Linked DNA regions of Cricetulus griseus. The protein of the gene in region 2 interacts with the protein of the main gene of each other region in a pairwise test. Links are inferred from orthologs where the notes say so. Each region holds a gene or a part of one and is shown on either strand. Other genes may lie near its edges.

The links.
Region 1: the proteins of Ap2b1 (region 2) and Ap1m2 interact in binary tests that used the Homo sapiens proteins (3 or more experiments, as listed by UniProt). The two-hybrid records come from large-scale screens. The link is inferred for Cricetulus griseus from reciprocal best matches to the Homo sapiens genes AP2B1 and AP1M2.
Region 3: the proteins of Ap2b1 (region 2) and Gtf2i interact in binary tests that used the Homo sapiens proteins (3 or more experiments, as listed by UniProt). The link is inferred for Cricetulus griseus from reciprocal best matches to the Homo sapiens genes AP2B1 and GTF2I.
Region 4: the proteins of Ap2b1 (region 2) and Nup54 interact in binary tests that used the Homo sapiens proteins (3 or more experiments, as listed by UniProt). The two-hybrid records come from large-scale screens. The link is inferred for Cricetulus griseus from reciprocal best matches to the Homo sapiens genes AP2B1 and NUP54.
Region 5: the proteins of Ap2b1 (region 2) and Cltc interact in a two-hybrid assay, tested with the Homo sapiens proteins (2 studies listed by BioGRID, with this or other methods). The link is inferred for Cricetulus griseus from reciprocal best matches to the Homo sapiens genes AP2B1 and CLTC.
Region 6: the proteins of Ap2b1 (region 2) and Itsn1 interact in binary tests that used the Homo sapiens proteins (3 or more experiments, as listed by UniProt). The link is inferred for Cricetulus griseus from reciprocal best matches to the Homo sapiens genes AP2B1 and ITSN1.
Region 7: the proteins of Ap2b1 (region 2) and Neu4 interact in binary tests that used the Homo sapiens proteins (3 or more experiments, as listed by UniProt). The two-hybrid records come from large-scale screens. The link is inferred for Cricetulus griseus from reciprocal best matches to the Homo sapiens genes AP2B1 and NEU4.

The regions. Positions count from the first base shown.
Region 1 is NC_048597.1:134,164,171-134,168,161, forward strand, and holds the start of Ap1m2 (AP-1 complex subunit mu-2), read right to left. Parts: upstream 2,801-3,991; coding exon 2,759-2,800; intron 1,166-2,758; coding exon 1,009-1,165; intron 853-1,008; coding exon 785-852; intron 1-784. UniProt on the Homo sapiens protein: Subunit of clathrin-associated adaptor protein complex 1 that plays a role in protein sorting in the trans-Golgi network (TGN) and endosomes.
Region 2 is NC_048600.1:96,585,657-96,589,156, forward strand, and holds part of Ap2b1 (AP-2 complex subunit beta), read left to right. Parts: intron 1-667; coding exon 668-860; intron 861-3,500. UniProt on the Homo sapiens protein: Component of the adaptor protein complex 2 (AP-2). Adaptor protein complexes function in protein transport via transport vesicles in different membrane traffic pathways.
Region 3 is NC_048597.1:113,349,401-113,352,900, forward strand, and holds part of Gtf2i (general transcription factor II-I), read right to left. Parts: intron 1,393-3,500; coding exon 1,334-1,392; intron 971-1,333; coding exon 896-970; intron 1-895. UniProt on the Homo sapiens protein: Interacts with the basal transcription machinery by coordinating the formation of a multiprotein complex at the C-FOS promoter, and linking specific signal responsive activator complexes.
Region 4 is NW_023276807.1:157,236,986-157,240,956, forward strand, and holds the start of Nup54 (nucleoporin p54), read right to left. Parts: upstream 2,801-3,971; 5' UTR 2,709-2,800; coding exon 2,642-2,708; intron 2,053-2,641; coding exon 1,891-2,052; intron 1-1,890. UniProt on the Homo sapiens protein: Component of the nuclear pore complex, a complex required for the trafficking across the nuclear membrane.
Region 5 is NC_048600.1:99,942,533-99,946,032, forward strand, and holds part of Cltc (clathrin heavy chain 1), read right to left. Parts: coding exon 3,493-3,500; intron 3,412-3,492; coding exon 3,244-3,411; intron 3,150-3,243; coding exon 3,000-3,149; intron 2,912-2,999; coding exon 2,780-2,911; intron 2,698-2,779; coding exon 2,587-2,697; intron 1,785-2,586; coding exon 1,614-1,784; intron 1,397-1,613; coding exon 1,175-1,396; intron 45-1,174; coding exon 24-44; intron 1-23. UniProt on the Homo sapiens protein: Clathrin is the major protein of the polyhedral coat of coated pits and vesicles. Two different adapter protein complexes link the clathrin lattice either to the plasma membrane or to the trans-Golgi network.
Region 6 is NC_048597.1:5,872,658-5,876,776, forward strand, and holds the end of Itsn1 (intersectin-1), read right to left. Parts: intron 3,661-4,119; coding exon 3,578-3,660; intron 3,331-3,577; coding exon 3,247-3,330; intron 2,658-3,246; coding exon 2,484-2,657; intron 981-2,483; coding exon 832-980; 3' UTR 501-831; downstream 1-500. UniProt on the Homo sapiens protein: Adapter protein that provides a link between the endocytic membrane traffic and the actin assembly machinery. Acts as a guanine nucleotide exchange factor (GEF) for CDC42, and thereby stimulates actin nucleation mediated by WASL and the ARP2/3 complex.
Region 7 is NC_048595.1:445,312,329-445,316,526, forward strand, and holds Neu4 (sialidase-4), read right to left. Parts: upstream 2,801-4,198; 5' UTR 2,789-2,800; coding exon 2,588-2,788; intron 2,484-2,587; coding exon 2,228-2,483; intron 1,017-2,227; coding exon 37-1,016; downstream 1-36. UniProt on the Homo sapiens protein: Exo-alpha-sialidase that catalyzes the hydrolytic cleavage of the terminal sialic acid (N-acetylneuraminic acid, Neu5Ac) of a glycan moiety in the catabolism of glycolipids, glycoproteins and oligosacharides.

The DNA.
Region 1 (3,991 bases), on a different chromosome or scaffold from region 2:
CCATCCATTACGAGATTTGATTCCCTCTTCTGGTGTGCAGATATACATGGAAGCAGAATGTTGTATACATAATAAATAAATAAAATCTTTAAAAAACAACAACAACAACAAAAAGGTTATTTAAAAGAAAAAAACCCAGGGGGGCTGAGAGGAAGGAAGGAAAGAAAACATTAAAAAAAAAAAAAACCTTCCGGATGTATGTAAGGTATACAAGTAACATAAACACATTTACAGAAGTCTTTGGTCTATCCCTAGGATGCCTCACTATACATATACACTATACATATACAAAGATTCTGACATCTGAAAACATCCGAGATCTGGCTCTCTCCCAGCACTAAGCATACTATTGCCCAGCCTGCAACTCCTGGAAGGGGAGATGGACTTAGTCAACATTTGAAGCTTGTTCTGATCAAATCCCATAGCCTCCTCCATTCTATTTACACCTCAACACTTTTTTGTTCGCTGTGTCCTCAGCTGGGGACAGTTCCTCTGTATTACTTCACCTCCACGGCCCCCTTTTCTGCTATCCCTTTCTTCCCTTCCCATTACACCAGAACCTCTCTTGGGTTCACAGGCACAGAAACAAGCGATTTGCTGAAGGTCACAGAGCAGAGAAGTGTGATCTCTGATCTGGGAGAGCCTCTTCCTAGCCCAGTTGTCAGAGTAGAGTGAGGAGGCTTTGATGGGCGGGGTCAGAAGACTGACTAAGGAGGCAACCAACAGGGTGAGCATACCAAGTAGAAAAGACAAACCAGCTAGCCAATGAGAGGCCAGTACCTACCTCCACTGTCTTGTACAGAAAGGAGTACACCAGAGAGGCATTGGCATTCTTCAGCGTGGTGGCCACCACTGGTACAGGAAGGTTAAGGAAAAGGGGTGTGACATGTCCCCTGCAGACCCCACCCCATTTCTACTGGCCCTTACCCCATGCACTGTGTAAACTGTTCTCAGTGCATTGCCCTCAGGATCCAGTTCCTGGCACTCCGGACCGGCAAGGGTGGATGCAGTAGAGATTGCTGTGTTTGATCCACAGGAAGTGCACTCGCCCATGGCTCAGCAGTGGCGCCAGCACGCCCTCCTCCTCACGCTGCATAAGCAGTGGCATGAAGTGGTCAATCTCCGTCATGGGTACATCACCTTTGTAGTTTCGGCTAATCAGGGGCTAAGGGTGGGTAGAGAGAACTCAGTCACCACCAGTACCCAACTTAGGGCACAGGGACTTACGATGTCCCAATTCTCTTCTCTCTTACTCTCCTTCTTTCCCATACACATCTGGCCTCTATTTTGTTTTATGGAGAGGATGGTGAGATAGTTCCTCATGTAGCCTAGGCTAGCCTTAAATACAAATGTAGCTGAGGATGAACTTGAACTCCTGATCCTCTGCTTCCACCTACCTAGAGCAACGATTACAAATCCTCTACCAAGTAAACTACATCCCTAGCCTGCCTTTCCTTCTCCTATTTTTTTTTTAATTTTTTTGGTTTTTGAGACAGGGTTTCCTAAGCTAAGGAGTGAATTTGAAGCAGGGCTAGGTAACTCAAACATTTCAAAACAAAAAGTAGAGGGGGGTTGTGAGAGAGCTCAGGGGATGAAGGGTCTTGCCACCAAGCCTGATAGCCTGAGATCCATCCCCAGCACCCACATGGTGGAAGGATAGATGTGAGTAAGAAGAGAGCTGGGTGGTAGGGGCGCAGGCCTTTAATCCCGGCACCCAGGAGGCAGAGGCAGGCAAATCTCTGTGAGTTCAAAGCTACACAGAGAAACCCTGTCTCAAAAAGTTAAAAAAAAAAAAAAAAAAAAAAAAAAAAGACAGCTTTTCACTTGGAGGCTGTCCTGGAACTCACTCTGTAGACCAGACTGGTCTCAAACTCACAGAGATCCACCTGCCCGGGTCTCCCGAGACAGGCACCACCACCGCCTGGCTCCCATTGTCATTGTGGGTTTTTTTGTTTGTTTGTTTTTGTTTTTCCAGACTTGGTTTCTCTGTAGCTTTGGAGGCTGTCCTGGAATTAGCTCTTGTAAACCAGGCTGGCCTCGAACTCACAGAGATCCACCTGCCTCTGCCTCCCGAGTGCTGTTAATCCCAGCACTCCCGGCGTCATTGTGTGTTTTTACAGGCATTTTTATTTTCTCTGTGTGCATGATGGGTGTGAGGTGGTGTGGGTTCACGGCTAGGGTGTATGTGGTCAGAGGACAATTTTGTGGGTTGTTTCTTTTCCCCTTACTGAGGTTTGAGGCTGAAGCTCAGGTCACCAAGCCTGGGCAGCCAGTGCCTTCACTCACTCGTTGAACCTGTTTGATTTTGAGGCAGTGTATCACGTAGCTCCAAATTCCCTCCTGCCTCCACCCTGCAAGTGCTGGAATTGTGGGTGTTTATGCATTGTTCTGGGATCAAACCTAGTCGGCTCACAACTGAGGCCCATGCCCAGCCCTGTCATTTTACTACAGGGCTCTAGTTTTCATCTACCGCTGTCACTGTCACTGCGGAAGGGGCCGGCAACTTGCAAGGAGAGTGTGGAGGCCTTCCTCCAGTTAGTTACACTGTGCAAATTTATCAAGCTCACGGGTTGTAGAAGGGCTGTGCTCACTGGTTCAGAGCGCTCGTATTCCCATTTTACATGCAGGGAAACTGAGGCAAGAAGCGAAGCCCCTTGCCACAGACGCGGGCTGGAGAGCGCGGGTCCCCAGCTCCGGGTCCTGCGCCCTGGGCCCGCGGCCTCCCCCGGGCTCCCTCAGCCCCTTGCCCCCTCCTCACCTTGCCCTTGACGTCCAGAATGAAGACTGCCGAGGCGGACATGGTGGCGGCCGTAGACGCCGAGAGGCGGGGGCGAGAGGCAGAGGCGGCGGCGCAGCTTCCTTCTTCCTGCGGAAGCTCCCTCACCCAGGTGAGGGAGGCGGCCAGGTGAGCGCGTCTTAAAGGGGAGGCCGCCAGGTGAGCGCGTCTTAAAGGGGAGGCCGCCAGGTGAGCCGCGAGGTAGGCAGCAGACGTCATACTGGGAAAGGCAGAACTTGGGGTGTGACAACTGCCCTGTCTCAGGTTCTTCTGGCGATGAAGGATGCCCGGGTGGATGAAGAGACGCCAGGACATTGATCCTTGGATCGGTCCACTCGCCCACCGCGCGTCCGTGGGTGTGTCTATTCAGCATCTCATCCGCCTACCCAATTATCCATCCGCCCACCACCCCCTCACACACCCGTCCCTCCACCCGTACACACCCGCGACCCGCCGGTCACCCTCCCACACACAGCCATCACTACCCCGGGTCCGCCATAGGTTCACGTGTCCACCCACCCAAGCCTCGGTCCGTCCGCCAGGCAGCCGTCCGGACCGACCAATCCCGAGTTTGTGTAGCTGGTTCTGTCACCCACACAGACCAGACGGTTTCTGTTCGTGCCCCAGTGCCCACCACTAGATGTTCAGAGATGCTGGTCCCTCTCATTCGCTCACACTATACATTTTACTACGTCCGTTTATTTTAGTTTGGTTCGTTGGTTGGTTTTGCTTTTTGTTTTTTGTTTTTTTGTTTTTCAAAACAGGGTTTCCCTGTGTAGCCCTGGAACTCGCTCTGTAGACCAGACTGGCCTCAAATCCGCTGCCTCTGCCCCCGCGTTCTGGGATTAAAGGCGCCACTACGCCTGGCCTGTTTTTTGTATTATTTTCTATTCTACAAGGAAGGATGAGATGATAATCGAGGATGACCTGGCCATTATGCGGTTCAGACTGCCCTCGGTCTTACAAGTCCTGAGATTACAGGCACGAGCCACCACACTTGACTTTGTTCTTTGTTTCCCAACTTCATTATTGAATAGCCCAGGTTGGCCTTAAACTCAAGATCATCCTTCCAATTGCTGGGATACCGTTTTGCGGAGGATGGGGAAAAGCACCCCAAACCTCCCAGGAGCCAGCGACCTGATGCTCTGCTAGGGAAGAAACATTTCTTGCACAGCCGTTAAGCCGTTAGGGGGCGACAAAGGCCACTAGGTCCTC
Region 2 (3,500 bases):
ATGTAAAGCCTATGCTTGATCTTAGATGTCTGGGTCTAGATCCCCTGCTCTTACCAACCACCTTCCCCTGATAAGTTACCTGAGATGTGTATATAAATTTCTTTCCAAGTTTATTCTCTAGTTCTGGCTGCCAATCACTTGTCTTTAGTTGACTGCTGGACATCTATAGTTATTTTTCTTAACACATAACAGAATTAAGCATCTTGAAGCTGTGGTTGTAGCTCGGTGGTAGAATGTGTTCTTAGCGAACAAAACCTGAGTGTCTTATTTTTTTTTTTTATCATCCTTCCAGATTCCCCTATTGGCAGCATCACTTATCTTTTCCTTAATGTTTGTTTATTGTCATTCTCCTTACCCCTCCATGTTCAGATCTTGTCAAAAGCTACTTAAGTTTTGTTTTTTTTTTAACATGTATTTATTTGTTGTGTGTACGTGTACATGTCTCACAGAGGACAACCTATGGGAGTCAATTCTCTCCTTCCACTGTGTGGATTTTGGGGATTAAACTTGATGGCAGGAACATTTACCTCCTGAGACATCTCAGCCATGTTTAATTCCTTAATTGCATTCTTAGTGTTTTGTGGTTGTACATGTGACATTTGCTTGCTGCTTTATTGTATAGGGGTGAAGATGGTTTTTCTTATTTCTCCTCTGTGTTTGATTACAGCACTGATGCAGGTGATAGCCCTGTTGGCACCACCACTGCAACCAACCTGGAACAGCCTCAGGTCATCCCCTCTCAAGGTGACCTCTTGGGGGATCTTTTAAATCTTGACCTGGGTCCCCCAGTGAACGTGCCACAAGTGTCCTCCATGCAGATGGGAGCCGTGGATCTTTTAGGAGGAGGACTGGATAGCCTGGTAAGCCTCTGCTTCTCTTTTGGTGTTTTTAGTTCTTGCTGGACTAGAGAACTTTATTTGGCTTTCCTTGGTGAACAGAAATGTCCTTTGTAAAGGACAGAATTATCTATCTTTAGAGACTTCATTACCATTCTGTTCATTATTGGGATGGAATATGTCTACATGTATACAGATTTATTATGTTGATCTGCTTATAAATAGAACTTCTGGTATTTAGTCAACATGTTATTTGGCTATCATAATTAATGATGTCCTTACCAGAGTTCATTATTTTTCCTACTTCTTAACTTCTTGTAAGTTGTCCTTTGGTCATGAGTATCATTAAAGTGGCTTAATAATGGTCACCATCTTTCAGGCCTTTAAACCTCTGCCTTGTTGGGTGTGGTGGTCTATACCTATAATCCCATCACTTGGGAGGAAAGGCAGGAGGATCAGAAGTTCAAGGTTAACCTTGGCTACAAAGTGAATTGGAGGCAAGCCTGAGTTACATGAGGTCCTGCTTCAATATGCACACACTTCCAAAAATAAATAAATAAAATAAATTAAAAAAAATATCTTCTGTCTTTTAAATAGTTATTGGTTTGTGCCTTTTCCAGCTCTGAAATGTTTTAAGGCAGTCATTTGAGCATTTTTGTCTAAAATGCACCTTTATTACAATTGAAAAGAACTGCTTGACTTTTCCCCTTCCTCTTCACTTCTGCCTTTGTCATACTTCCAATTTAATTAGCTTCCAGGATTCTAATAATAAAAGGTTCCAAAGTCCAGACTGTCTGTGGACATGGGCTACCAAGCCCATGTTGTCCAAGATGGAGAAATATCAAATGGCAACAGTCAGTGTCTGGGGAAAAGGCCAGGGAAATGATAGGTCACAAGGCTCCCTGCAAATCAGGTACTTAACCTTGGTGGACTTACAGAATAGGTGTCTGATACTCTGATGACTATCAAGATGCCTGACAAGTTGATGCATTTCCCAGCAACGTTGGAGGGCACACACTGTAGGTCAGAAATTTTCAGAGATGATAGAAACAGAACCACTTGTTCTCTTCTGTATATAATGCCGTTGTCTCTTAAGCTTCACGAAGACTGTGGTATTTGACTATAACATTTGGGCTTGACTGATTGTAGAACAGTATTGAGTCATCATTCTACATTGCTGTATGGTCTTTTAGAATCAAAGTAGACAAATAATTTAAGTATCATGGAGCTGCCCAGGAAATAAAAATAACTCTTGTTGTACTGATGTATCACTTATAGGTTGAATAATACATCCTCAGGTTTATGCTTTAACTTCCTACTGCTTTCCCTGGAGGGTTACTACGTGATGGATTCATTGAACCTATTCATTGACAATGGGTTTAGAGATTGAGGTGGAAAAGAGGCCCTGATTTTGATGTTTGCAGGTTCATAATTCTAATAGGTGGATGTATCCATAATACACAAAGATAAAACTCAGACTAAGTACTGATTCAGATAAAGAGGCTGTGGAAGGAGCTAAGGAGATGGTTAAGTCTTGAAGGGTAAGAACCTGAGTTTGGTTGCCAGCACCCACATATACAAAAACAAACAACAACAACAAAAAACAGGTAATAGTGGCACACATTTTAAGCCCAGTACTCAGAGGCAGAGACAGATGGATCCCTGGGGAATGCTGGCCAGCCATCATAGCCTAATTAGTGAGTGTAAAGGTTCTAAGAACTCACTTGAGGCTAGGCATAGTGGCCTTTAAGCCCAGCACTCAGGAGATAGAAGCAGGTGAGTTTGAGGCCAGCCTGTCTTCATAGGAAATTTCAGACCAGCTAGGGCTATAGTGTAAGACCCTTGTCTTTAAAAAAAAAAAAAAACAAAAAAAAAAAAAACAAAAACAAAATGTACATGGCACTTCTGTTTTCTTAGTTAATTAATTAAATGTATATGGGTGCTTTGTATTTTATGTCTGTGTACCACATGCATGCTTGGTGTCTTAGAGACACAAGAGGGCATCATATTTTTACTTTGGGCCCTTACTTTTACTTTGGATCTGTATGTAATTTAATGTATTCTTTTACAAGAGCATTAGAAGAGAAGCCCACATTTGGCAGTGTGGAAGATGAGCTTCTAAGGCATCAGTGAACTGTGAGACTTTAAAATTCCTGTTCCAGTTACCTAAAGAGGAAAATAATTCCAGTTTTCTTATAATCTGTATAAATAGTGCCATTTCTTAAATGAAACCTTGCCTTATAGTAGCATTTCATAAAACTATATAATGTATATACAAATCTTGTACCAGAGAGATCCTGATTTAGTTAGGCTCTGGTAAAACTTAGTAGTCTGTATTTGGGGTTTTGTTTTGGTTGGTTGTGTTTGTTTCTTTGTGTGTGTGTGTGTGTGTGTGTGTGTGTGTGTGTTGTGTTAGATGACAGCCTTGGGTGTTGGTCCTGGCCTTCCACCTTGTTTTTGAGGCAGGATTTTTTTATTGTTGTTAATTGTTTTTTTGTTGTTGTTGTTGTTATTGTTGACAGGTTCTTCATATGTAGCCTAAGCTAGCCTCAAATTGACAATCCTCCTGCCTCAGTATCCCTAGTGCTGGGATTGTAGGCATGTGCCACAAGACCCAACATTAGTGTTGGGTATTAACTCAACCTTACTCCATGGAGGTCAGTG
Region 3 (3,500 bases), on a different chromosome or scaffold from region 2:
GAGGATCAAAAAGAATCAACTGTCCCCTAGGCAGTTGCTTCCTTCTGCGTCGATGAAAACAATGTGCCTAGCAGTTCCAGGGTTCAGGGCTGCCTGTTACTATGTCAGCCGTTTTAGACAATGAGCTTCCAAAGTTCACAGGCCTACACCAGAGGCCGGAAGAGAATATATGTGAAGACACAGAGCTGCTCTGAACAAGCACACTGTTATTCAAACCACCTATAAATGCATTTCATCAAAAGTAGGAAAAACCACCAGGAAAAAGATGAGAAACATCTCTCTGGGCTTGGTCTGCCTGACTATGGATAAACAATCCAAGGGGTTCCCCTCAAGTAACCCTCACAGGACCCTCAGATTACAAACAGTCATAAATTATGCCAGGGAGGTAGCTGAGTCACCAAAGTTTGATCCCTAGCTACATGGATCCCTGGGGCTCAAGAGCAGCCAGTCTAGACTACCCAGCTAGGTCAAGGTCCAAAAAGGGGACCTATCTCAAAGCACATGGACAGTGTTCCTGAGGGTGACACCTGAGATAGCCTGTAACAATGAACGCCCACACACGCATGCACACACACTCGAGAGCACACATACATACTCATGCATTAAAAAGCAAAATATTCGCTGGGTGGTGGTGGTTCAAGCCTTTAGTCCCAGCACTTGGGAGGCAGAGGTAGGTGAATCTCAGTGAGTTTGAAGCCAGCCTGGTCTACCAAGCGAGTCCCAGGACAGACAAGGTTGTTACACAGAGAAACTCTGTCTTGAAAAACAATTAAAAAGAAAAAATTAATAAATTTAGCATCAGTTGTTTTTCAGACAAAACCTCAAAGGCAGCAGAGTTACTGAGTCCACACAACTGTAAGGTAAAGAATCAAGAGAAAAGTGTGGGACGGCTCACCTTCCACCGTGACTTCAATCTCAGGAACCTTGGAGTTGCTCCCAGGGCTTCGTGGTCGTTTTGGGGACTGCAATGCTGTAAGGCAAAGTGCAAGATTACCTTTGCAAGCTGCATGAAAAACCACAGAGGGTGCTTTGCAAAAGCAGAGAATTAAACACAATCATACAGTTTGGCTCTTTTCAAAGAAACCCGATGCATTAAACGGCAGTGTAACCCTCCACATGAATGCCAACAAGCTGTGGAGACAGGGATGAAGGAGGATGCCAATATCCGAGATGGCAAGAAAACACAACACAGACAAAGAGATCCACTAAGTAAAACAGCTTAAAAGCAAAGAAATAAACCAAAGGCCATGGTGATAATGGAATATGACCCACGTGACATAGGAACAGTAGCAAAGAATGTAATGTGTTCATGCCCTGAGGTGCTGCCTCTTACCTTTAGTGTTGATTTTGCTAGCCATCCCAGGAGGCAAGTAGGACACTACTAGCTCAGGCCTAGAAAGAACATACAGTGCGTCACTCTACACACAGCACAAACAGCCAGAACTACTTCTAAAAGAAAAGTATATATTGGTGTTTTCCCTGCATGTCTGTCTGTACCACATGCATACCGAGTGTCCATGGAAGTCAGAAGAGGGTGTTAGATCCCCAGGACTGGAGATAGACAGTTGTGAGCTACCATGTGGGTACTGAAAATTGAACTCAGGAGAAGAGAAGCCAGTGCTGTTAACCCTGGTGGTGTGAATAAGAATGGCCCCCATAGGCTCATATGTTTGAATGCTCAGTCACCAAGCAGTGGCCCTAATTGAGAGAAGGATTAAGAGATACAGCTTTGTTGGAGTAGGTGTGCTGGTGAAAAGTGTCACTGGAGGGTGGCATTGAGTTTCAAAGGCCCACACCAGGTGCTCACGCCCCCCCCCCCATGCTTTGGATCAGGATGTGGCACTCAGCTACTTCTCCATGCCTGTCATCCTGCCATGCTTGCTGCCATGCTGCCCTTGCTGATGACAATAATGGAGTGAGCCTTGGAAGCGGTTAGCCAGCCCCCAATTAAATGCTTTCTATTATAAGAGCTGCCTTGATCACGGTGTCATTCACAGCAACAGAACAGTAACTAAGACAGAAGTTGGTACCAGGGAATGGTGTTGATGTGACAAGCCTGACCATGCTGCCTGTTGGTGAATTGTGAATTCTGGACTAAAAAGTGGTTCAACGCTTTAAGCAAGCCTTAATGGGTCATAACAGTAGGAGCATGGAAGACAGTACTGAGGTTTCAGAAGGGCAGAATAGCAGTAAGTGGCCTAGAGATTGTTCTTGGGATATTATGGCAAAGAATGTGGCCGCTTCCTGTCTTGTCCTAAAAATCTGCCTGAGATTAAATTGAAGAGTTTCTGATGGATTGGCAGAGATTTTCAGACATCCTAGCTGGTCAAAGAGAAACACAAAATGTGCAGTTTGAGGAGAAAAGGGTACCAGGAGCTAAGTCCAGTACTCAAGATGAAAAGTTTAAAGAAAAGTCTGATATTAAATGGAATAAAGGGAGTGGTGACTTCAGGGCAAGACTCCACCCAGCTATGCTCCCAACTTGTGAAGAAAAGCTTAAGCAGCGAAGGAAACCATAAACACAACCTGATGATGAAAATGTAACTGGAAGAGTGGGCAGGTTCAGCCCCATCAAGCAGAAGAACTTGGCAGCTTCAGCCACGAAACTGAATTTAGAGTCAACAATACAAGAAAGAGGTTTTGGAATCATCCATGGCTAAGGAAAGCTCCCGAGGCCAGGTGTGTGTCAGGGCTGTCCCTGAATGGAGGCCCAGAGAGGAGGCCATGACTGCCCTGGAGACCCTAAGATGTTGGAGATGCCAGAGCAATGGGTTACCTGCCAACGAAAACTGCTAACAGGGAATGGAACCAACCCCAGAGAAGGAAGTATGTTATAATCAACAAAGCTGAAAGGAGTTGGAGATCTGAAAAGCACTTTGACATCAGACATTGAGATGCAGAGTTTGAAGTATGGCCAATGAGTCTTTGGTCTTACTTTGGTTGGTATTTCCTCACTATGCTCCCTTTTGGAATGGCAATGCATGCTCTGTGCCATTTTATGTTGGAAGTATGTGATCTGCCTTTTGATTTTACAGGAGGTTACAGTTAAGAAACTGCCATGAGTCTCATAAGAGACTTTGAACTTTAGAGTTTTAAATAGTGTTGGGACTGTGAAAGACTATGGGGATTTTTGTAGTTGGACTAATTGTATTTTGCATTTTGAAATGGCTGTAACCCTTTGGGGACCCGAGAGTGGAATGTTGTGGTTTGAGTAAGAATGGCCCCCATAGGCTCATATATTTGAATGTTTAGTCACCAAGCAGTGGCCTTTGTTGGATGAAGGGTGTTACTGAGGGTGGGCATTGAGGTTTCAAAAGGCCACACTAGGCTGGCTGCTTGTGGATCATGATGTAGCCCTCAGCTCCTTTTCTAGTGCCATGCCTTCCGTGCCTGCCATCATGCTCCCCACCGTGACGACAGCAGACCGGGGACCCCCCCCCAGACTGTAAGCTAGCCCCCAACTAAATGCTTTCTTTTCTAAGAGTTGCCTTGGTCATGGT
Region 4 (3,971 bases), on a different chromosome or scaffold from region 2:
AATTTTTAAAAAGAGTATGGCAGTAGTTACCTATTCATAAATATGCTGCAAAAGACTTTGAAAACAAACATTTGAACCATAAATGCTGAGTTATACTCCAGGTTTTCTGAGATTCTAACTTGAACCTCATATATTTCTTGTAAATGGATAGCCTCATAAAGATTGCAACATAGAACAGGTGTGATGGTATGTGCCTGCAATCCCATTAAAGGAGCTAAAGCAAGATTAGAACTTCTAAATGAGCCTAGGCTACACAGTAAAAAGCTGTTTCAAAAAAATTTAACTAGTTTTAATCAATTTTGTGGTTCTGGGTATTAAATCCAGGACCTTGCATATAGTAGGCAGGCAAATACTCTATCATTAGGCTACACTCTCTGACCCTTAACAATACAATTCAGATTTAGAAAATTAGTGCATAGGCTATTGCACACACGTAACTCAGTGGAGTCTACTGCAATGCTGCCAGTTAAACATTTTGATGAAACACCTAAAATAAGTACTGTCTTTAGTTCCCTTTTAACTCCCTGCATTCAAAGAGTAACTGTTATTGACCACACAACAAAAACACTAGTTAGTAACTTACCACATTTTAAAATACCAAAAATGCTTTATTAGTAATAGTAGACCAGTATGGATACAAAAAATGTTGTTTTAAAGCTCTTTGCTGAGGCTAAATTAACATATTTGAAAGCAATCAAAACAATTATATTCATACAACTCAAAACTTTAACAGTGACAACTTCAAACGGACATGAAATCAAGCAAATACAAACAGGTTTATTTGTTGCTGTTGAACTATGTGGTTTGCTTTATTCTGAAACATAAATTTCAAAATAAGGTTTGCCCAGTGCCAATTTTAAGCAAAATAGGAAAAGCAAACACAGCAAGGGCAGTGATATGCAAACACTTCTAATGTATCTTAATGAGTCACTTTATCTTTGAAATTTTCAAGTGTATTTCACATTATTTTCAACTCATTGAATTGACACAATATCTGGCTCTCCAAGTAAGTTCAGGAAGAGATGTTTACCAAATGCAAATAATTGGCATGGGCAGAAGTGGCATAACATAGACTATGGACAGTAAATTCATATACGAGCAGCTGAGGGTCACGATTTTTTCAAGGGTCATTTATGCTGAGCTTTCATAAGCCTACTTTAAATTGGGACATACACACCCATCATATTTGTGTTCTGAAATCTTTTAGTATTCTTCAAACCCGTAGATTAAAAAAAAATCTTCGTAATTCTTTTCAAATGCAGAGATGTCTAGCTTGAGTTTTAGAACTCAATGTCATCTCGTAAATTACACTGCTCATAGAGACTTTCCCAAAAAATGGCAGCAAAGAATTGGAGATTCTTTCTATGATTCCATCTCTTACAGGAATACATACTAACGTGTTGATGGAAGAAAAACGTCATTATACAGATTGAAAAACAAGACAGGTCACCGCTGTTCGTATAAGACTTGTTTCTCTTGGAAACACAAGGACAATAAGATGAAATCCCGATGGAATATGTATAAAAAATGAAAAACGACTGCAGGAGTCCAAGAATCCCAGGGAAACGCTGAGCTTATACCGCAGCTAATAATTTGAAAAACATTCTATCCAAAATAAACTCCATTGCAAATTCTTATCATTTTGAAGCTGTACTCCGTATGATTAAATGCAAACCCAACAAAGGAGCATTTTAATTCTCAAGGCTGTCCAAAAAAAACCACATCTTTTAAGACAAGTCAAAACTTGACATACACTCAATTTGACCTCAGGAAACGAACCCTTCCCTTAGCAGACAAGTGCCATTTTTTTCCCTCAAACTCTAGGAACATCGGAACATTCTTGGACTCCAGCCCCCAACCCTCGTTACACACATGACCCGCAGTATCTACCTGCACTCGTCAGACTGTTACCAAAATTGAATGGAGTCGCCGAGGTGGTAGAAACACCGAAATTCCCAATATTAAAGTTCACTGCAGGGTTAGCAGTTAATCCGAAACCCCCAAAATTAAACCCACTGGCGGTGGAGTTGGCAGTCTCAAGCCCACCAAATCCTGATAGACGTGGAGGCAGAGAAAATTTGAAAACGTGAGAGGAGGGGAAGAGAAAAGGAAAAGAAAGCAAGATAAGAATTAACAAGAATCAGCAAGAGGTTTCACAGCGTGAATAAACCTGAGCGGCGCCGGAACCGGTTAAGAGAGCCAAGGAGGCGGGGACACACAGAGGAGCAAGGGCACCAGGGGCCGGGGTCAGCATCCCCCAGGCTGGGGAGGGAACGGAGGGCGCTGCGGGTAGCCTGGCTCCAGCCTTGGCCCTCTGGGCCGGGAGGCCGAGGCGGCCGAGGCGGCCGAGGGGTCGCGGGGCCCCAGGAAGGGAAGAGGGGCGTAGCCTCCCGGGCGGAGTCCCCGGTGGCGGGAAGCGACACGGCGGCCCGGCCACGCGGGATGCGCGCGCCCTGCGAGCCCCAGGCCCAGCCTGAGCAGCCCGCGGCCCTCCCACCTTCGCCGCCCGCCCTTTCCAAATGTCCTCACGGTGTCTCGCGTGCCAGGGCCACCACGGACCCCCAGCCGGACGGTATCGGACCGAGGGGGCGGGCCCAAGGCTTCCGTTCCTCGGAAGAAGGTGGTCCAGGGGCTGACTCACCCGCGGGTGCGGCGGTAGCTGCAGAGGTGCCAGAAGTGCCCGAAGGAGCCCCAAAATTGAAAGCCATGTCGCGGGAGCAGCGCTTAGGTTGTCCCGAGCTCCCGGGCTCCCGCGGCGCACCCGGACGCTCAGTGCTCACGGCTCTCCCGCCCGGTCGGGAAACGCGGGCTGTATCATTAGTTCCGCCTCCTCTCTGGCCGGACGGGAACGCCCCCCCCCCCGTTCTGCTCACTTCCGGGGGTGTGTTGTGGCTTCAAGTGGTTTGGGGCGTCACAACAAAGGGGAGATCAGGGGGAAGTAGGTGTGGAGGGTTGCCAGCTGGCTCTTAGAAGCCACCTTAGCGAGGTGAGCGGCTGCGGAGATTGCGTGCTTCAGGGTGTAACCGTGCCGCCCGGACCACCCAGCAGGGGGCCTTCCGGTAGGACATGAGGATGGAGGAGATGAAGCAGCTGGGAAAGGGGCGTTTAGGAGTGATGGAGAGATAATGGGGCTAGCAGTGACACGTGTGTGTGCTGTGTGGCACGCTCTCCAGTACTCGTCTCTGCATAGTTTACCACTGTCGTCGCTGAACAAAACGGAGGGCTGACCCGGATGAAGCAAATGAGCCCTTTAAATGCTAACGTCTGTGCCCTGCATCACATTTCTCGGGAACACTTAATCCTCAACCCCACAGAGAAGATTCTAATTGACTACTTTGCACAGGTGAGATGGGAGCGTTCCCAAAGTCATTTCGCTGGTTTATCCTGGAATCTAGTTTGGAACAAGATTTTTCTTGACTCAATTCTTATTTATTTATTTATTTATTTATTTATTTATTTATTATGTATACAGTCTTCGGCCTGCGTGCCAGCAGATGGTTGTGAGCCATCATGTGGTTGCTGGGAATTAAACTCAGGATCTCTGGAAGAACAGTGCTCCTAACCTCTGAGCCATCTCTCCGGCCCTGGTGTGTGCCACCAATGCTTGGCTCTTTTTCTTTTTTCTTTTCCTTTTAAAAATATTTATTGCGAAGCCGGGCGTTGGGGGCGCACGCCTTTAATCCCAGCACTCGGGAGGCAGAGACAGGCGGATCTCTGTGAGTTCGAGGCCAGCCTGGTCTCCAGAGAGAGTACCAGGATAGGCTCCAAAGCTACACAGAAAAACCCTGTCTCGAAAAACCAAATATATATATTGCGCCTGGCGTTAATGGTGCATACCTTTAATCCCAGCAGTCGGGAGGCAGAGGCAGGCGGATCTCTGTTGAGTTCCAGGTCATCCTGGTCTACAGAGCAAGTTCCGGGACAGGCTCCAAAGCAATACAGAGAAACCCTGTCTGGGAAAGCCTATATAT
Region 5 (3,500 bases), about 3.4 Mb from region 2:
GATGGAAAAGAATCAACTTTCACCTTTTCCTTTATTGCATCAACCTGCAAAGGAATTCAGAAGGTGCAGCTTAGAAAAAAATCAAATTCCATATTGAGCATAAAAAGGTAGAATCAGCAACAAAGGTTCAGGGGAGAAACATGTACCCACTAAAAAAGGTAGGAGCGAAGTGGAAGTCAAGGGCAAACGGAAGCAAAATTGAGAATCCTTTTAACTTCAAAGCTCACTGCAGAAGTATTTATGCTAAGTCAGTGTGAAAGGAAGCAGCTTAATGGCTAGTAATGGACAGCACTTAGGTTAACAGCAGCCAGGTCTCAAAAGGTGGCATTATGCATAAGAAAAGAAGCTTGGCTCCCCTGGGGCTAAACTGGGGTAACTCTTTTAATCACACTGAACTGAACTTACATAAAATATTATTCCCTTAAAAAAAAATCTAAGTGCAACATGAGGTATGTAGGTAGGTGATCCCTTGAGGAAAAAACTTTCTATCCTGGGGTTTATTTGTAGTGTTTCCCCCACTTGTACTCAGGCATGCTGAAGAGAACAGAAGTGAGACTTGATTTGTTCTGACAAAAATGGATCTTTTAATATTATTTTTCTATGCATAGCTAGTAACTCAGGACAAGCAAAATCTATTCTAACATTAAAAAGAGATGCTAACATGAACAGTAAATTTTATAAAGTGGCTGTCTCCTCAGTTTATTTAATGTGTATTTAGGAAACATGGGTAATTGCAAATTTCCTATTGTATTTTTAAATTAGATATCTGATTACCAAAAAAAAAATCTGTGATGACTAGCAGGCTGTTAATACAACAGAGCTTCCCCATGGGAAACAGGTAAAGACATGAAGTCAGAAACCAAAGGGAGTCTACAGAAGTATATATGGAAATCTGAGTTATAGGAATTAATTTTAAAATGCTATTTTAAAAGATCTCAAATATTAAAACAGAGAGTGCTATTCACTTGAAGAATACAGAGAGGGTAAACAATGACAAGCTTGAGTTCCCTTCCTAGTCATGGCATCTGTCAACACTTAAGAAAAATTCTATGTAATAGGAACATTTTATGATCAACTAAACAATTTATATTAGAAAAAATAAAACTAATATGCATGTAGAATTGCACATATTCTCAAGATTATTAGTTTTGAATATACTTCTAAGCGTCATTACCTTGGTCAAATATTCCTTCATGACCTGGATGAAATAGGGCATGGCAAAATCCATGATATTGTGCCTCCATGCCGTTTCCAGGACGACATCTGGCCTTAAAAGATCATAACAGGTAAAGAGACAAGCCCCGAAGCACTCTCTTTTTTCTTCCTGCAAAAACCACTGTAGGAGTTCTTCAGCCAATTCTGTATCTTTAGATTCAGAGGCATACTGCATCGCGTCCTATTCAGAGAAACAATGAAGGTTAGAGGTTTATCCAAGGATGCTGACACAAACCAGTCCTGGAAGTTAAAAAACAAAACAAAACAAAACAAAACCCCACTGACTAAAAGACCACATTCACAAAAGAGAGTTACACTACCAATTCTCATACCCATGAAACTAACACTTGTAAGACACTATCTGAGTTGATTGGACAGCCCACCCCCACTTTATCAACCTTGTAAAGGCTGTCTTTCTTGCACAGCTCTACGCTCTGTTTCCAGCGATTGTTGCCTTTGAAGAGATAAGCAGCAATTCTTCTGAATTCAATGAGTTCATGTTTTTCCAAACGCTGAGCAAGTGAGATATTGTCAAAGTTGTCATAAGCATCTATTGATGTTCGTAGAGCCTTAAGAGACAAAGCAATTCAAAAGTCAAAAAGGCTTTTACTTTTAACATTTATTTTTCACAATTCATTTTGATGCAGGCAATTAGATGATAGCATAAAATATAACAACATAGATTCAAGCATCAAACTACAAAAGTTGTAAGCTGGATTCAGATGTCAATCTTCTTCATCTACTTCTAATACAATAAATAAAATCCTCAAATGTACTGCACAATTTTCTGAAAGGGCAATCTGCTCCAAGGTTTCCAGTACTGATACTAACTTGAATAGCTATGGAGCTGGGAGAATATGTAATATGGACAACAACTTATGCTGCCAGGAAATAATTCATAAAATTACATGATATTCAGCCTTACAGGCTAGACTATGAGCCTAAAGGAATCATGCTGATCCAGAAGCCAGATTCTGAGGCAAGACTGCACTTTATGCACTACTAGGCAAGTTCCAGTCAGGTCAACAATTATTAAGTGAAAGAAAACAAGGCAACTAGCTTAACCTAGACATTTTCTATTTATGTGCTATCTTTCACAAAAGCAAATTTAAAAGACAAATACTAAAATATGAGACAAATACTAAAATAAAGAAAAGTAATAGTTTTTTTTTTTTTTAAAGAAAAGTAATAGTTAAGTACTTAATAACAAGTAAGTTTTATGGACTAACTGAAGAAGCCTAGGCACCCACGTGCCTGCTTCTTTATAAATGTAAAGGTAACAGTAGCTTTTACCACAGAACCTGTTTAAAGCCAACTTTAAACCTAATCAGAACCATGTTTTAAGTATTTACAAGAATCCAAAGGTTTTACCTGGTAATCTTCTTCTGTAATAAAGAGGTTGTTCAGTGACTCATTCACAGATTTGTTGTTGTGGTTCTGAACTGAGCGTAAATATGGTTTCACCAGTGGTAGCTGTTTAACCTTTAAAATAAAGTTTGTTAGAAAGATAGCCATGGTTGAAGGTCTATGAATCTTCACTATGAAGTCGGTTTGAAATGGTTACCTTGCTGAAATAATTGACAGCACGAGTGTGATCCAACCGTGGAGACAGCACCATAAGCAAGTCATTTAACAACAGAGGCTTGAATTCTAAGTAGAACTGGATTGCTCTGTAGTACAGCTCCACATTGGCCACCTAAAATAGGAGAAACCCATGCATTAAAAGCCAGTTCGTCCCCAACGAGCCCTGTCTTTCCACAGCCCATATCTCTGAAGGTATATACCTTGGTGATGATGTCTTTGAACTGCCCTTCCTTCCATGCATCAGTGGGATGGTTCATCATGGTGATTATGGCATTATCATACTCTTCATACTTGTCATACAGGAACACCAGCTCTGCCCAAAGGTGGGCTTGTTCTGCAGCTCTCAGCACCTGCACAACATAGACCAGTCGTGTAAGATGTAAGCCCAACTCCTGCTATCAGCCTAAATGATTAGAGCTGCCTTACAGTGGTGAAGATTGTTACCTTAGGAATATTCACTCTCGACCAGAACAACTCCAGGTGTTCCCTCATTTTCTGTGGCTTGAATTTAGAATACAAAATAGCTAGTTCGGTAAACATTCCCATGTGAGCTCGTTCTAGTCCCAAGGCTGCCTCCAACATGGTAATGAGTTCTTCAAAATATCCACGATCCTAAACAAGGGAAATGTGCAATTAGAGGACAGAATATCTATACAAAGATCTCAATCCATATAAAGGTCTGGTGTTCGTTACCTGATAGT
Region 6 (4,119 bases), on a different chromosome or scaffold from region 2:
CAGAGAATGTTCCGATAATAGCCGGCAACCAGGACTCAATAATGTCATGGAGCCTTCCCAGTGCCCCAAAACTCATCAGGACACAACTTCATAGGTGAGCTTCCATGCCATCAAGCCTTCCCAGGGACCCGAAATGGATCTAATTCATCAGGACGGAACTTCATAGATGAGCTTCCAGAACCATTCTCCAAGCACACCATGAACCACTCCACAGAACACCAGTGTGTTTCCACTGAGACACTAATCCAGGTCTGAACAGCTCTAACGCACACTTGAGAATCTTCCAGTAATGGCTCTCGGGAGAGCTAAGTCAGTGCCTGCTCCACGAGTCATTACGACGAGCTTTCAATCCAGGGCCCCATTTCCCAGTGGGAGCTGGACTCCAAAGCAGCAACAATTCCATCACAATCGGACTAAACACACCACGCACCGGGCATCATAGGCCAGGTAGTTTACAAAGGGGCTGCTAGAGGGGAGAAATAGGAGGCCTACACAAGTTCTCCAAAATACAGTCACTGCATTTATAAATCTATTTTATAGTAACCAGACCCACACCTCCAGCCAGGGGAAGGATCTAGGCTCCCAGGGGAACCTAGTTTAAGATTGTGGATTTCAGAGACTCTAGAAGGCATGATGAGACCTGTAATGGGGACAAAGGAAAAGAGAATCTGGATTCATAAAACGGGACATGGTTTGAAGAGCAGGATTGTCGAGAACTACTCCTAGGAGCCTTGAGGGACCTTTGTCTCTGCTGTCCCTGTTGCCCCATGGCTGACCACCAGACAGCACATGGGGCCTTGAGAGGAAGTCCTTCATGATCATCCGGGGTGGCTATGGCTCATCAAACAACTGCAGGTCAAGGCGGACCACAATCTCCCCCGTGGGGACCTCGTGCAGCAGGAGACACTTGGTAACTGGCCCCTTGGAGCCCTGGTCTTTCTTGATGTCAGCCACTCGGATCTCTGTCCGACCCAAAAAATCTGAAAGGAGAGAAAGCAAAGCATACTCAGAAAGAGTTCCTTGTCTCCAAGGTGCATGTCGGTCACACTGGGGATCCCCTACGACACCGCCAGGGTCCACCTCCTCTAAGGCTGCTTGTAAGACCAGCACTGGCGTTGTTCCCAGTTTACTTCCCCATGGAGTGGTCAATGCACCATAGTATCTCACTGCTAGAAAACCAAAGAAAGTTTTAAAATATTCTCAATAAAGCAAAATAAAATATATCCAAGGTAATGTGTATACCAACTACCCATTTACTGTTACATATCATATATACTTACTGCGATAGCCCACAGAATATATTCTGCGTCCATTTTAAAGTATATTAATAGGGTCAAGGAGATGGATGGGTCAGTAAAAGTACTTGCCTTGCAAACACAAGGACATAAATTTGGTCCCCAGGGTCTGTATTTAAAAAGAAAGCCAGGAGTGGGCTGGAGAGACGGCTCAGCAGTTAGGAACACATGCTGCTCGTCCAGAGGACCTGATTTGGGTTCCCAGTATCCCACCCAGTGTCTCACAACCACTTGCGACTCTAATTCCAGGGCATCCAACACCATCTTCTGGCTCCCATGGGCTCCTACATGCATGTGTTGCACACAAACTCATGTAGGCAAATGCATAAACATTATTCTTAAAGCTGGGCAAGGAGCTAGTGCTCTTAACCATTAAGCCATTTCTCCAGCCCATCTTTTACATATTTATTTATTTATTTATTTATCATGTATACAGTGTTCTGCCTACATGAATGCCTGCAGGCCAGAAGAGGGCACCATATCTCATAACGGATGGCTGTGAGCCACCATGTGGTTACTGGGAATTGAACTCAGGACCTCTGGAAGAGCAGTCAGTGCTCTTAACCTCTGAGCCATCTCTCCAGCCCCATCTTTTACATTTTTAACAGGGTCTCCTTATGTAGCCCCACTGGTTTCAAACTCATAATTCCTGTCTCGGCCTCTCGAATGCTGGGATTATAGGTGTGAACCACCAAATGTGGCTACATCATTGCTCTTTTAAACATTTACTTATTTACTTTGTGTGTGTATGTGTTTGCCCGTGTACACACCACAGCACGTGTTGAGATAGAGGATAACTGACAGGAGTCCCCTTCCACTGTGTCAATCCTAGGGATCAAACTCAAACCATCAGGTTTGGCAACCAAGTGTCTTTACTTATTGAGCCTTGATGAGCCAAGGACAGAAAAACAAAAGAAACTACATCTAGGTTTCTAGGCATGCCCTTTCTCATAGCTGCCTGTGCTGGAAAGCAGATCACTTTAGTCTTTGTCTAGATCAGTGAAGCAACCAGCCCCAGCCCTTCCTGCCCACACCCACTCAGTTGGCTCCAGCAGCTCCTTGCACAACGCCAACCTAATCTCTAGGGAACTCCAGGAGTGCCAGGCTTGGGTTCAGGAAAGCATGTACCCCTCCCTGTAAGAGGATGGGGCAGGACCAAGGGTGCCCTGAGGGCCATTTTCCACTCACCATCAGGTGAGAACTGGTCCCTCTCAAACACAGTGATGCAGAGAACTTCCTGTTCCAGGTCTCTGATGAAGAACTGGCAGTTGGAATTCCACTTAGGGTTCAGTGTGTCCTGGATTGTCTTGGTGATGTGGCATTGAGAGCCCATGGTCACCTCACAGTACGGGTTGCTCTTTCCTGGAGTGAACAAAAGCCCCTGCCAGGTGGGACACATTTCATTTCCATCCCCCTCAACCTTGGAGATTAACAAGTGGGAAATCTGTGGACACGCCCATATTTTGGTATCACATCTAGATTAACAAATCCATTAACAAGGCTCCAAAGCCAGATCCCTTCTATCTGTGCACATTATATCATGTGTGATGTATTCCACTCGTACTGTGAATGCGACCTCTCAGGTCTTACTGAAAAGCAGGACAATAGAAAAGAACTTACAAAAATTATGTGTGTGTGTGTGTGTGTGTGTGTGTCAATATATGTGTGTGTATATATATATATGTATGTATGTGTGTGTGTGTCAATATGTATCGTGTCATATATATATATATATATATATATATATATATATATAGTATGTGTGTGTGTCAATATGCATATGTATGTGTGTGTGTGTGTGTGTGTGTGTGTGTGTGTGTGTACGTGTGTACATATGGCTCTTTGGCATTCTAGAAAACCAAACATCAGCAGGAAATTTACACAAGCAATAGCACAGATAATGTCAGGCTGGTTAGGGTGGAGGATGAAGGGCGGGACTCACGGCCCTTACCATGTGACCGACAGGGCTTCAACTCAATGCCTTCTACGACGTTCACCATCAACCTTCCGATACCGGTTGCTCGCTGGGAGCGGACTAGACCGCAAGAAAACAACACAAAGTTCGCTTTGATGCCCCCCCCCCCCCCGCAGCTCGTCGGCCGGCAGCCTGCGGAGCATCTGTCCCGCTAGAGCGCGAAGCCCCCTCGCACACTCCGTCCATCCTCCTGCCCCACCTCGCTCGCGCCATTCCTGCGCATGCACGAGTTCCAGCCCCAGAGACACCCGCTGGACTCGGTGGCTCTCCCGCCCCGCCCCGCTCGCCCTCCGTTCAGCCACGTTACCCAGGTACGCCTTCTCGCGCTTCTTTTTCTCGGTCTCTATGTAGAGTTCAGAGGCAGCTTTGATTTTCTGCACCCAGGCAGTCCTTGGACAGGAAAGAGGGAACAGATCGCTCAGAACAGAGAACAGAACCGGCTTGGGGTCTGCTCAAATTCTGTTTCCGGGACTCTTTTTACCTGGTTTATTTGAATTTAGCAGCAAAGGCTCAGAAAAGAAAGACTGATTCTGTATGACGTGGCGCTAACAATTATCTCTATCATGAGTAAGGAAGTCTTTCTTTTTTTTTTTTTTTTGAGTCAGGGTCAGGGTCTCATATAGTTTAGTCCCAGCTGGTGAGGAACTCACTAATTAATAGAGGACGGCCTTGAACTCCTCTCCCTGGCTCCGCCTTCTGAGTGCGGGGGTTGCTTGCACACGCTTCTGGTTTATGGGGTGCTCAGAATCGAACCCGGGATTTTGTGCACTTGAGGCAAGTGCTCCACTCCCGGAGTCACCGCCCTGCATGCCCTCGAGCTCTCCCTCACGTTCCCACTCCCACGAAGAC
Region 7 (4,198 bases), on a different chromosome or scaffold from region 2:
CCTTCCTCCCCAGGTGCCTGCCAGAGGGCCAGGCCATCAAGAGGGCCAGCAATGCCCCTGAGGCTTGTCCCTGGGGCTGCGTATCTCTAGGCCAGTGGGTACATTCTCCAGGACATCAGCCAATGAGAACAAGCAAAAAGAGATGTCTTCGTAGGAGGCCCTGATCCCGCTCTCAAACAAACAGGCAAAGGCCAGGGACGCCCCAGGCACAGCCCCAAGGAACGCTAGGTCGGAGTAGCCACTGGGGCCCTCATAGATCACCCAGGGATCTGTCCAGCTATGGGGGTCCAAGGGGGACCGGCTCAGGTAGATTCCCATGTGGAGCCGAGCTCTACGCTCTGACGGGTGGGAATACAGCAGCCATGTGGGACTCTGAAGCAGGGAAGCAGAGGACACAGGGAGTTCTGGGCTCCAGACTGTCTTATCTCCACCTGGCCCAGGTTCTGAGCCATGATTCCCTAGACCCCAGGTCTGTGGGGTGCAGAATGGCCCTCTGGGAACCCAACCTTCAACAGGACCCCCAGCACCTTCCCCTGAAGCCTCCTGTACTCTGAGATAGAAGCATGGGGAATGTGGGGTATTCCCAGGACCCACGGGCCACCGGTCATCCTGAGGCCTGCTGGAGGGTGGGGCTGGGAAGCCCACAATGCTACCCTGGCAGCCACGGGCAGTTTCTGCCAGTGTAGGCACCAGCTCCCCTGGCAGGAAGGAGGTGCCCTCATCAGCACTCAGTGCCTGCACCCGGTTGCCCAGAGGGCTCCGGGCATTGCAGTAGAGAAAGTCTCCACCCACGGCAGCCAGTTGGCACTCTCCAGAGCGCAGGTTGGGCACAAGGCCTCCACAGTGCCAGGAGATTCCATGGTCATCACTGTAAAAGGCCAAGGAGTGGGGACTGGTCCAGCAGATCCTGCCGAAACACTCTCGGCGGTCCACGTGGTAGGTGTAGGCAGGGACAAGCAGGCGACCTGAGCGCAGCTGAACTCCATGGCCTGGACCCACAGCAAAGGTGGCCCAGTCTACAGAAAGAAGGAGCCAGAACCTTGGGTTGGGTCATCTGACTGCATAATCCTGGGAGCCTGCTCGGTCAAATGCCTTCTTAAAGTTTTTAAAAGACTTATTTTTAATGATGTGCATTGGGGTTGGGGGGAGGCTGGAGAGGTGGCTCAGAGAGTAACAGCCCTGGCAGCTCTTCCAGAGGTCCTAAGTTCAATTCCCAGAAACCATATGGTGGCTCACAACCATCTGTAATGAGATCTGGTGCCCTCTTCTGGCCTGCAGGCATACATGTATACATAATAAATACATCTTTAGTTATGTGCATTTGGAGGGTGTGCACATAAGTGCAGGTGCCCATAGAGGCTAGAGGTGGCAGATGCCCTGGAGCTGGAGTTACAGGCAATTGTGAGCCACCCAATTCAGGTGCAGGGAACCGAACTCCAGTTCTCTGCAAGAGCTGTAAGCCATACAAGCTCTTCACTCTGAGTCATCTCTCCAGCCACTTGGGAGACTTTTGCTTTTTGTTTGGGGGTGCAAAGCACAGAAACCGGGCCAAACAAGTGGTCTACCACAGAGCGGTTCCCCAGCTGTTAGCCAACAGAGGCTTAATGATCACCAGCAGAGCTCAACTTCTGGAGCAAGTGCTATTACACAAGGGTGGTAAAGGGAGGAGACCGTGGGTGAGGTTTTTGGATGTGCCCACTGTCCTTGTCCACCTCCCAGAAGCTGCCACACCCCTCTAAGTAGCAGTCATGGGCCTGGTCCTGTAGCCCCTAGGGCCACGCCTATCAGCAGGAGTCGGGTAGTGAAACAGAGTCAGCAACTGCAGGTGGGGACTGCAGAGGTGGAAAAAATGACGGGGGCCAGAGACCAGGGCTGGATGAGGAGGAGGCGAAAAGCAAAAGGAAGTGGTAAAAGAGAATAAGAGCCCCAACCCTCTCCTCTACAGACCAAGACAAAGGGAGCCCCTGGTGGGCTTTAGCTGCCGCCCTGCCAACACTGAAGGCGCTTGGGGAATGCCAGACAGTCCTGGAGACAGTGTTAGGAAGTCATTGCTCTTGGGGGTTGTGGGGCAAGAAACTGAGGATAGGAGAGGCAGAATGAAGATTTCCAAGTGACTGGTGGGCCTATGCAAGGGTCAAGCCCAAGCCCATCTTGCCCTGTCCTGTTCCTACCCACTCAATTCCTCCGCCCCACACCACCAGCCCATCCCACACCAGGTGTCACCTACCCCGCAATGCTGCACCAATGACCTCCTCAGTGAGGTCTCGCACACTGCCCCAGGTGAGGCCCGCATCACAGCTGGTCACACAACAGAGCCGAGCAGCGTTCTTGCCAGTGGCGATCTGCACGGCCTCGGGCGTGTGGCCCAGCACCGCAATGAAGAAGAGGAAGATGGTACCCGAGTGTTCGTCCAGCACCGGGCAAGGGTTCATAGACCTGTGCCCCTCCAGCACCGCAGTCTCCAGCACACTCAGGGTGCCCCACTAAGAAAAAGAGGCAGCTGGTCAAGACATCTGGAGCCTGACCTTAGTCTCCAGAGGGATCAGTAGAGCTGGGCTTCCGTTTCCCCTCAGCGCTTTGCACTCACCCGCACTGAGCCCTTGGCCAGTGTCCCCCTCCTCAGCACCAGGCGGTGAGCATGGGAATCATCAGGGCTGAGTCGCTGTTCTGCAAAGGCCAGCAGGGTAGGCCTGGGAGGCACACTGAGCAGCGCAGGCACGCGGTAGGTCAGGCCCGTCCTCTCCCGCTGGAAGAGAACGGTCCTTCTGGGAACACGCGAGGGCCCCATGCCCTTCAGGTAGGAGCAGGACACCTGGAATCTGTTGGGGAGGAGGCACCACAGGTTTACATGGCCACAAGCCAGCCCCACAGACACCTGCCCTCTTGATGGCACTTTCCAATCTCCCTCTCCCCAGACTTCTCACAACCCATCTGCAGACCCCTCACAGCCACTGCACCCCAAATATCTATAGAGCAGGCCCCTTTGTTCTCTCCAAGCTGCTCCTTTGCCAGGCTAACTGGTGCTGGGGAGCTGGGCAGAGAGACCCCACATCCTTCCAGCTGGTGTGTCCTGGACACATATCACCACAAAACTCGCCTACCAGGAGTATGGGCAAGTGGACAAAGTCAGACAAAAAGGGGGAGGGGGGCTCAGTGTTCACAAATATGGTATGTGAGACCAGGGAAGGCACACCACACGGCAGAGGCAGATGAAACTGGAAGGTACCCACATGGAAGCAGAAGGGAACTCCAGAAATCTCCACAGAAAATAGCTCAGACATAGGGCATGCGCCCACGGGATCCCTGGGCTGGCTGGTGGTTTGGAGAACAGCAGAGCCCTCTCCTGCAGCATCCATACCAAGCTCTCATAGGCACCAGAGAGAGCCAGGGGCAGGGCAGATCAAAAGGCAGCAAAAAGAAAGCCAAGGACACCAGAGAGGTCCTTGTTTGGCCCTAAATTGATTCCTCCCTGTCAGAGCAGGGTCATTGCCAGGCTGATGGAGCAGAGGAGCGGGTGGCAGCATTCCAGGCCAGGAGGACATGCTGAATGAGGAAGGACAAAGGCCTCTCTCCGCATGGCCCTCGCTGTGCTGTCTGCCCCTGCGGCCACTCCCTAACCTCACCCACAAGCCAAGGTCAGGAGGCTTACGGTGTGATCTGCCTGTGAGCAGCTTAGCCCCTCTTGTCCGTACCCCCACCCTCTGCATCCTCATCTGTGGGACTCTAGACTGAGCTTGGAAACACTTCCACATGGAACTGAAGCCACAGGAGGGTGACCAAGCAGCCCCAGGGCATATTTCTTCCCCACTTAGCCTCTCAAAGAAGGACTAGTGGGAGATAAGTTGGGGACATGACCTGGGCCTGCCAGGTACCACTGTCTGATTTGCACAATGGCAGACGAGAAGATGAGTGTATATAGCTGGTGTGGGGTTGTTGGGAAGGCAGGGCAAGGGGTGCATTACCAGCAGGACACGAACAGTCAGAGCTCACAACCGTCTAGGCCAGACCACCACCAGCCAAACAACTCATGACCAGGCACCCCAGGCCAAACCAGAGCCACACACACAGCCCACACCAGCCACTCCTGACCAGCCTACCACAAGCCATACAGAAGTAATAGCAGCCAGGCGTTCATTGGTGGTGCACGCCTTTAGTCCCAGCACTCAAGAGGCTGAGGCAGACAGATCTCTGAGTTCGA